2 linked regions of the Arabidopsis thaliana genome follow. The protein of the gene in region 2 interacts with the protein of the main gene of each other region in a pairwise test. Each region holds a gene or a part of one and is shown on either strand. Other genes may lie near its edges. The genes, in order: AT1G68185 and AT4G18670.

The links.
Region 1: the proteins of AT4G18670 (region 2) and AT1G68185 interact in a two-hybrid assay, tested with the Arabidopsis thaliana proteins (one study listed by BioGRID).

What each region holds. Positions count from the first base shown.
Region 1 is NC_003070.9:25,554,197-25,559,161, reverse strand, and holds AT1G68185 (Ubiquitin-like superfamily protein), read right to left. Parts: upstream 2,780-4,965; 5' UTR 2,759-2,779; coding exon 2,618-2,758; intron 2,504-2,617; coding exon 2,428-2,503; intron 2,340-2,427; coding exon 2,281-2,339; intron 2,087-2,280; coding exon 1,956-2,086; intron 1,820-1,955; coding exon 1,609-1,819; intron 1,157-1,608; coding exon 989-1,156; 3' UTR 982-988; exon of another isoform or gene 896-981; 3' UTR 629-895; downstream 1-628. Other genes in the region: AT1G68180 (RING/U-box superfamily protein), read right to left, coding at 3,537-3,559, 3,662-4,346; UMAMIT23 (nodulin MtN21 /EamA-like transporter family protein), read right to left, coding at 4,904-4,965.
Region 2 is NC_003075.7:10,274,905-10,280,581, reverse strand, and holds AT4G18670 (Leucine-rich repeat (LRR) family protein), read left to right. Parts: upstream 1-1,787; 5' UTR 1,788-2,090; coding exon 2,091-4,664; 3' UTR 4,665-5,120; downstream 5,121-5,677. UniProt on the Arabidopsis thaliana protein: Modulates cell morphogenesis by regulating cell wall formation and assembly, and/or growth polarization.

The sequences.
Region 1 (4,965 bases), on a different chromosome or scaffold from region 2:
TTGGGTGGGGACTTAGAAAAAATGGTGATTACGTTATCCGTATGCACGTGAGATATGGGGAAGCCACGGACGTATGTGCCACTGTGACAGCTTCTTCTTTCACGACCCATCATCTCTAACTCTTAAAGCTTAGCTTTTCCTAACCAATTATTGTATGCCACATGTCGTAGCTAACTCCGGACCAAACAAAAACTACAATTATCCGACTTGGTTAGTTCGTTAATTGGTTTTATTATTTTTCACATGAACTAAAACACATAAATAGTACTTGAATGTGTTAATTCTTATAATTTTACATTTTTAAGAATTTTATTAATGACTAATGTGATGTTTTCTTTTCTATCAAGATTATATTAAAAGCTAATGTTACAAAACAAGAAATATTAGAGTCATGAGACTATATTTGAATATAAAAAATATCAGTGTAAAACGACATTTACTAAGAAACAAAGGAAAAAGTACACTAAACCGAATTTAACCGATTTACCATTGATTCCAGTTTTTGTCAGTTAGTAAAAAGCAATACTGATTATACATACAATAGTTTTAGTTTTGTCTTAGATTAGTGAGATATATATTTATGTTTCTCAAGAGATAGAGAAAGCATAACGATTAAAACCAAACAAAAGTTTAGTTAGATTTTTAGATTGGATTCAATAGGATTAGTTAAAATCAAAATGGTTTGGTTTACCTTATATATTATACACGCCTAATAAAGAGTGACAGAAAGAGTGAAAGAAAGAAAGAAACAAAATTCCGATAAAATGAGAAAGGTCACAGATACAAACACCAGATGTTAGCAGAGAGATCCCTTCCCATGCCCATGTTGATGTACAAAACTCTGGTTTTTCGCAAAAGATGGAACAGATTTGACATTCCAGATTCCGATTAGCGCCTGACTTGAATTCAATCGAAGATAATGAGTTATCATCATATCACAATAAGAGCAAGAAGAAAGATGTGGAGGACTTCATAAGTTACCTATTTGTCAAGTTTTTTTGGTGTGCACTTCAATCATATCATGATCCTCCATGCCAAGTTCAGAAGGAGTGGTTGATGGATCAATCTTATCACCGTCAAAAATAAATACAAGATTTTGCGGGTCAAGCTTAGCTTTATCTGTATACAGTTTGATAACCCTCTCAAATTTCTCGTCCTACAAGAAAATGGTAAATACCAAATCAACATTCTCATATTTTACAAGCTTTAACAGAATATGCATATCTATTAATGAGCGGCTCATTGTATGACAGAGAGCAAGCAATATGTATTCTGTGTGTAAATGCTATGTGGTGATGATACATTGATAAGAACATGAACTCGTTCTCTAGTTTATTAGATGAACTCAAAGAATAGTTTAAAGATCCATCAACTAATACACGTCTCAAATACTCGACCCCATTCAATGATTTCTTTAATCCCTGTATTTATACTCTTGCTTTCCTAGAAAGCTCGAAATATCTAGCTATCTAGATAGTAGCGAAGGTGACATAACAACTAATTCTTATCTCTACTAAATATCTAGTATCTAGCTAGAAAAAGTTTGGATAGTAAGCTTATTGTCGATGGAAGGTTGGATAGTAAGTGGCAAGCAGTGAAAAAACTTACCGCAAACACCCGGAGTGTCTTCTGTCCATCTTTGTCCTGTATTGTAATAACAATCTTGGCCCTGTCATTCGTAGGCTCTGATGGTAACTGAGCAGCAGTCTCTGAAGATGGATTGCGAGATTCTTCAACTTCCCTTTTAGCAGACTCCTCAACTTCCTGCATCACATCTCCTACAGTTTTTGTAAATGACATGAGCTCCATCTTCTTCGACCTACGTTACATATTTCATTTATAATCAAATTGTAACACTGGGACTCTTTCCGGATAGCAAATAACACTACCATAGCCTCTAACAGCAACATGGGAAGCTTAGAGATGAGAAATACTCAAAGACATACAAAAGTTACCTCAATGCTTTAATAGTTGAATCTTCAACAGAGTCTTTACTTTTGTCGAAGATAACCTTTGGTGGAGGAAGCAACCAATCGTCATCACCCGTAACTTCAATCACTTTCACATCATCATCTAACTTCTCAACCTATATAAAAAGATTCAAGTTCCAAAAGGAATGATGATAGATTCAACCTATGAATTGTGAAGTACATAATCGAATTGTTCCTTCACTGACATTGATTCAAAACTCTTTACAAGCCCACAATACCAAAAGTATCTATCAAGTTAACACAAAGAGCTCAATGAGACAACAACCAATCAATAAAAATCAATTCTTACTGTTTGTGAAGTTTTCGCTTTCTTCGGAATTGGCGTCACCGAGGCATCATCATCATCATCTACAAAAATTCAAGCGATAATAAAGGATTCATCTTTATCACTGTCGAGTGTCGAGCTCAGTGACCAAATCAAATAATCGAAACTCACCATCGATACAAACGAAATTCGCTGGCTGAACACGACGATAATCAAAAAGTGGCTCTAGATCTTCTCCTTCACCTCCCTGATCATCAATCAGTAATACAAATTCAGAAAAACTCAGGCATCAACACAATCCCACAACAGACAAAATTAGGGTTTTAAAAATTGGGGTATTGGGAATTCATAAAATTCTCACCATTGTTAGCGAATTTGGATCTTCTTCGTCTGTTTTATCAGAAACCCTAGATGAATTTGGACAGATTTTGAATTTGAATATTATTTTGCTGTGATTTTTGAAAAGACAAAAGTGATTTTGAATTTTGATGAAGAGAGGCATCGGCGATTAAGAAGCACCTCTTGGGTTTATTATTTGTTTGTTGGGCCTGTTTAGTGGGCCGAGTTTTCATTGGTTATCACACTTTTTTTTCAGATTGGTTTAATTGGGTTGGGTGACCATCATAGTTGATTGCGTATTTGTCATTTGAGATCTGTTGTACTTTAGTAGAATTTTGTTGGTATTTTTGAATGCATGACAATAAAAGATGGTACAACAAGACTCATCCTAAGTCTTTAGTAGAGAAGTCCATGGGAAGCTCTACATGAAGGTTATAGTAAACCAAACCGAGAAGGCACAAACTCGGCTTTACAAAATCAGGCCAAAAATAAGATAACCGGCAAATAAAAAGGGTTGGTGAGGCTATTCAAACCATACCTAAGTAAATTGTGTTCGATGATCACGAGAGAGAAAGAAACAAAGAAAGGGAGACAAAGCGTTTTCAGAGACTATGAGAGATCATGGAACCCTAGCTAGTAGAGTAGAGGACTAACCTTATTACCAAGATTTTTTATTTACATGTTGTTACAACTTACAAATGAATAAAAGATAATTAATGCAAATATAGTCTTGTTAATGCCAAAGTTTTGTTTCATGAAATAAACACGCTTCTAGCCTTTCATGATCACCCTCTTTGTCTCTTTATGTAGTTTTTTTTTGTCGTTTCTTATTGATGTGTGTTTCTTCTCCTCTCTCTCATAAGTCATAATACACTTAATATGTAGTCAATAATATTCCTAGTTTCATACATTCTTGTTTGCAATTCTTTAATTTTTTTTTGTCAAGAGTTTGTTATTCTTATATCTGCGAAATTGTATATATTTTTAAGAGTTAAATATCATAGTCAAAACCCGTATAAGCATAATAGAAAAGCCATGAAAGCTATATCGGGAGGTGGAATCTTACCTATGAGATTATGTACCCAATCAATCATCATTCGGAGAGGCCACAAAGAACAAACCCGAGTCCGAAACCGATTTGATCGATCATTGTCGATGTTGTAAGACCCTCCTTCGTCTACGTTACTCTCGGAAACACCTAAGTTAACCTCAAAACGACAAATGGGACAAGTGTTGTGAATGTTCAACCAAGACACAATGCAGCTTGAATGGTACAAATGCAAGCATTTCAATTCTTTTCCTTCCTCTCCAACTTCAAATTCCTCCTTGCATATCGCACAAACCTTCTCTTTCACCAAATCTTCATCCGTGATTATCACCGTCCTTACAGCCTCGATGGCGGATTGCGAGGCTGGTGGTGGACCGATTTGTACACTAGGCATGACATCAGCGAATTCCTCGTCAGTATTATAAACTAGATCATCATGATTGAACCGGTTACTTCTTGGTTCGTTGATAAGATGGAGAGTGATCCAATCGGTATCACTATCCCAATAAGGTCGGCTTGGCCTCATAATGTCAAGCTCATCGTGAAGATTGATCTCTCTAGAACAGAAAGGACATATGGGACCATATAGACCAAAGCTTCTTAGCCTAATGGTACGGCTACAATGGCGACAATAGAAGTAATGGAACGTTCTTGTTCTTCTTGTTCCATTCACAATAACTCTTGGACGATAAGCAGATGTCATGTTTTCAATCTTTTTATTTTTTCGTCGGTAGGATCTTTATATATGCATTTATAATTAAATACGTGTACATGTTTTCAAGAAGAGGCAAGACAAAGCCTATACGAGTGAATGAGTTATTCTTTTCTGTGTTTAGGTTGGTGTCGTATGGTCTCTGCTATGTCAACTTGCGAATCTTTTAGTGATTTGTCTTGTAGGAATCAGAGATTCAAAAGGATGCTTGGAGAATCAATTACGATAAAGGGTTTTAGGTTTGGAGGAGAGTTATTTGAGCGGCCCATTATGGGCCCATTCCAACTTACTAGTTCATGTACATATTGTATGACTCAGAAGTGAAATTAATTAGACCCAAATAAGATTTTACAATTTATTATTGCTCGTTAAAAAAAATCCATGCAACATCTTATGAAGTTGTGGATGTGGTAGTACAAAGGTCATATGCACATAATAACTTACATAGATGGTTCAATAAATCATCGTTAGATAGAATAATAATGTTAATATTCACTTAATCAAATATACTAACAACAAGTCGTTCAACATATATAAATGATGGTTGATCAAGGGACATTTGTACTTAATGTTGGGAGATTGTTGACTGTGATATCTTTGCTAGTCTTAT
Region 2 (5,677 bases):
AAACAAATTATGTTGGCAAGAAAAACCCATAAATTTAAGTTGGTAAAAAATAATATCTAAGTCGTGCAAAAAAAAAAACCCATAAATTTCATATGAAACGTATAAACTAGTAGTATTTTAGTAACTCGACAGTGAAAAAAATAACTCAAATAAACAAAAACAAATCATGGTATAAGAAAAAAACTTGTCTGTATTCATAGACAAAGAGTAAGCGTCGCTAGACTTGTTGGAGCTTTTGTTATTCCTTATGTGTATAAGACGACAACAGCAAAAGCTTAGGCATGCATCATGTCGGTAGTGGTACTCTACTACTACGTCTCACTCTCGTATACACATTAAGACACCTAACATGATCTCTTCTCTACTTAGACAATATTACAAAAAGATTATCTACTATACGTACCTCAAACTCACGTACTCACATCAACAAGTGGTTAAGTTTGACTTCCCGGCTCCGCCTCTTGCGGCGGTTGCATCCTCCCCACGTGCACACCCACGCCTTTCTCTAACTCTTCCCCACTCTTGCAACGACAAGTTTAATCTTTACTCGGCGAGCAAATACTATGCCGCTTGAACCGGCGTAACAACACCCACGATCTTCCTAAGTGTCTCAAACCTCAGCTTATCAGCTTACTAGTATCCAATCTATAAATGTAAACACTTTAACTTGTTATGATTTATCGTAAATCATTTATGAATCAAGAAAACCAAATTTATATGCGTCTACAACTCTACATGAACTGGAACATCTGATTGATAACACATTATAGTTCATATTTTCATATTTGCAAGCAAAGGTATAAGAAGAGGATGGAACAAAATATAAAAAATGAATTGAATCACTCGCCATAAAATAATATACTTGGCACATTATTTATGTTTTTTGCCAAACATTTGGCACAATTTATAAATTTATAAATTACAAAGACTGAAGCAAACCATTATTCCATATATACAAAAAAAACTTAGCATTTAAATTTATATTATAGACAATCGCAATAACATCAAGGGTAAATATAAACATTATTTCATATTCTGTCGATCCAATATATATAGAGAAATATAAAGGTATATTATTACTGTGGGTCATGTCGTTTTAAGACAATTCCGACATAAGAACAGTTAACTGTTGAACTTTATTTATGTTTTGGACTAGTGAGTAGTGACACCTCAAAAGAAAAAAATGAATACACGTGAGTTACGAGTTTCAACTAATTCATTTAACTTACTGTTTGACATGATAGCTGTAAAATACAAAGCACAGCAACATTTTCATTTTATGGGCTTTAACAACATTGATAATCCATGTCAAGCGAGAGATAACGATAATTGAGTTCATTTAGATTCAAATTTCTTTTAAATGAGAACTTTTAACAATGGAGCTCTTTTTTTTTGGCTTCGGTTAGATATTCTGATTCAAATTGTACACAAGCATCATTATGGATATGCTTATATTAAAAACCGTGTGATGGCCTATTAGTAACAAGTAGTATTTACCAAACTTTGATCAAAAAATTATTAGTAGATATAAATGTTTTCCAATGCAACTAATCGTTGTATTGGAATAGTTCATGATGCAAACAAAATTATTAACAAGTCTTTACCAAAATTTAATCCAAATGTATGGCTAATCACAAAAGGTTTCCAATATCAGCAAGTAATAATTAATAGTTGAAATGATGCTAAACAAAATTAACTACCTAATGCCTAGAGCAATGTAAATTGTCTCTAATCAAAACTTTAGTGTTGACCAAAATCATTAAACAATTATAATTTGTAACGTATATAATCAATCATGTGATTAGTTCAAAAAAGAAACCAAAAAGTCGATCATACATTTATATAATTGTTAGGTAATTCATGGACACACATCAATTAATTAACATTACACTTTTGACAGTGTAAAACAGACAGTGTTATAATAAGTGAAGAGTATATGAATAGGGCTGAGCTGTGCAAAGACCTGTCTCTCTCTCACTTATAATTCCCTCTTCACACATTACTTCTTCACTTATAGAGATTCTCACTTACATTTCCCATTTTACCCTTCTTCTTCCTTCAAATCCACTGATGTCTTGTTATGTGAAGTAATGAAGACGAAGATGATGATGAAGAACACGTCTCTGATCTTTGTTCTTCTTTTTATCACCTTCTTCTTCACAAGTATCTCTTACTCTCTTTCACTTACTTTCAATGGAGATCTCTCCGACAATGAAGTCCGGCTAATCACACAACGTCAACTTCTCTACTTCCGCGACGAGTTCGGCGACCGCGGCGAGAATGTCGACGTTGACCCATCTCTAGTCTTCGAGAATCCACGACTTCGAAATGCTTACATAGCTCTTCAAGCTTGGAAACAAGCTATTCTCTCTGATCCAAACAACTTCACAACAAACTGGATCGGTTCTGATGTTTGCAGTTACACCGGCGTTTACTGTGCTCCGGCTTTAGATAACCGCCGGATCCGTACCGTCGCCGGAATAGATCTAAACCACGCTGACATTGCTGGTTATCTACCTCAAGAGCTTGGTTTGTTAACAGATCTCGCTTTGTTTCATATTAATTCAAACCGGTTTTGTGGAACCGTACCGCATCGGTTTAACCGTCTTAAGCTTTTATTCGAGCTTGATCTCAGTAATAACCGGTTCGCCGGAATATTCCCTACTGTTGTCCTTCAGTTACCGTCGTTGAAGTTTCTGGATCTAAGGTTTAACGAATTCGAAGGACCTGTACCAAGAGAGCTCTTCAGCAAAGATCTTGATGCGATTTTTATCAACCATAACCGGTTCCGGTTTGAGTTACCGGATAATTTGGGAGATTCTCCGGTTTCCGTTATTGTTGTGGCGAATAATCATTTCCACGGTTGTATTCCGACGAGTTTGGGTGATATGAGGAATCTTGAAGAGATCATCTTCATGGAAAATGGGTTTAATTCTTGTTTACCGTCGCAGATCGGACGGTTGAAAAACGTAACGGTATTTGATTTCAGTTTTAACGAACTTGTTGGGTCGTTACCGGCGAGTATTGGCGGGATGGTTTCGATGGAGCAGTTAAATGTGGCGCATAATAGATTCTCTGGTAAGATTCCGGCGACTATTTGTCAGTTGCCGAGGTTGGAGAATTTCACTTTCAGTTATAATTTCTTCACTGGAGAGCCGCCGGTTTGTCTTGGGTTGCCTGGGTTTGATGATCGGCGGAATTGTTTGCCGGCGAGACCTGCGCAGAGATCACCAGGGCAATGTGCGGCTTTCTCTTCTCTTCCGCCGGTGGATTGTGGTTCCTTTGGATGTGGTCGTTCTACTCGGCCTCCAGTTGTTGTCCCATCACCGCCTACAACTCCGTCTCCGGGTGGTTCTCCTCCTTCGCCTTCTATTTCTCCTAGTCCACCGATCACTGTCCCGTCACCGCCGACAACTCCATCTCCTGGTGGTTCTCCTCCTTCACCGTCTATTGTCCCGTCTCCTCCTTCAACTACGCCATCTCCTGGTTCTCCTCCTACATCGCCGACGACACCTACTCCTGGTGGTTCTCCTCCATCATCGCCGACGACACCAACTCCTGGTGGTTCTCCTCCATCATCGCCGACGACACCTACTCCTGGTGGTTCTCCTCCATCATCGCCGACAACACCTTCTCCCGGTGGTTCTCCTCCTTCACCGTCTATTTCTCCTAGTCCTCCGATCACTGTCCCGTCTCCTCCGTCAACCCCAACATCTCCTGGTTCTCCTCCTTCGCCATCTAGTCCAACTCCGAGCTCTCCTATTCCTAGTCCTCCTACGCCATCAACTCCGCCAACTCCGATATCACCTGGTCAAAATTCACCGCCTATTATTCCTAGTCCACCGTTCACCGGCCCTTCTCCGCCGTCGTCACCTAGTCCTCCTTTACCGCCTGTTATTCCTAGTCCTCCCATTGTAGGCCCGACTCCATCGTCTCCTCCGCCGTCAACACCTACTCCGGTTTACTCTCCTCCCCCGCCGTCTACAGGGTACCCTCCTCCCCCGCCGTTTACAGGGTACTCTCCTCCATCCCCACCACCTCCTCCTCCCCCAACTTTCTCACCTTCCCCATCAATACCTCCACCACCGCCTCAGACATATTCTCCCTTCCCGCCACCGCCACCTCCTCCGCCGCAAACATACTATCCACCGCAACCATCTCCATCACAACCCCCGCAATCTCCAATTTACGGCACTCCCCCTCCTTCCCCTATACCTTACTTGCCGTCACCGCCTCAATTTGCATCCCCACCACCACCAGCCCCTTACTACTACAGCTCACCACAACCACCGCCGCCGCCACATTACTCATTACCACCACCAACCCCTACTTATCACTATATATCCCCACCACCTCCACCAACGCCAATACACTCCCCTCCGCCACAATCACATCCACCGTGCATAGAATACTCACCACCTCCACCTCCAACAGTCCATTATAATCCTCCACCACCACCATCACCGGCGCACTACAGTCCTCCGCCTTCACCACCAGTTTACTACTACAATTCACCTCCACCTCCACCGGCTGTCCACTACAGCCCACCACCTCCACCGGTAATACACCACAGCCAACCACCACCACCTCCAATCTACGAAGGGCCACTACCGCCGATTCCCGGAATATCATACGCATCTCCTCCGCCGCCTCCCTTCTATTGATTCTTTTTCAGAATGTTCTCAAAAGGGGCCCACCACTTATGCCAAAACCCGAAAACGAAACGGTGTCGTGTCGTGTCAATAACACTTATCCGATTGATAGAAACATGTAACACGGCGTCGTTTGACCATTTCTTGGAGAGAGATGTACGTGTTGGTGGTTGGGTATTCTCCGAAAGATTTATTTCGGTGAACAAAATTTTAAAAAGAAGAAAATTAGGCGTTTTTCAGGGAAAAGTTGTATAAATAGATTAATTAAAATATGGAGCAACCTCATATTTATGCTCCTTATATTTCTTATTAGTGTTCTTAAATAATTATCATTGTTTTTTTTATTAAACTTTATCATTGTTACTTCATTTTTTGTGTTTTTTCTTTCTGGTTATCTTTTTCTTCTCATATATGAAATTATCTTTTTTGTATTTCCTTATTTAATTACTGCAACTTTTTGCCTATGTTAGCGTCTTTTAGTTTTATATTTTTGATATATCAGAAACTCCAAATAAACTATATGTATATTATTTTTTTGTTCTCAATTATTCTGGTTCATGCACGAGACTTGTGTGTGAGAGACTGTGAGTGTGAAATCGGTATAAAGTAAGAAAAAGAAACATAATTGAATCCGGTCCAGCATGAAATGCATAGTTTTGGATGAAGCAAAGCCAAGTAGGGCCAATGTCACATGTGCCCAGCACCACCTGACTGACTACTTTGCTGTTGGAATTTATATCGGATCCTTGATTGCCGCTTTCATTTTTATTATTTTAATTTTTATATTATTGTAGTACTATATGTTTGTAATTTAGCTTTAGATTTGTACTTCGTAAATAATTAGGAAATTGTTTATACAAAAATATTCTTATATAAAATCGGTATTTGAAAGGAAAAATGGGTGAAATTTTGAATTTTGGCTTTTAAACTGTGTTGGGGATGTGAGAACTGAAAACTGTCCTTTTTTTTTTGGTAGTGATGTGAGAACTGTCCTTGCCTGCCGACAAAGTCACGATAGAGAAACA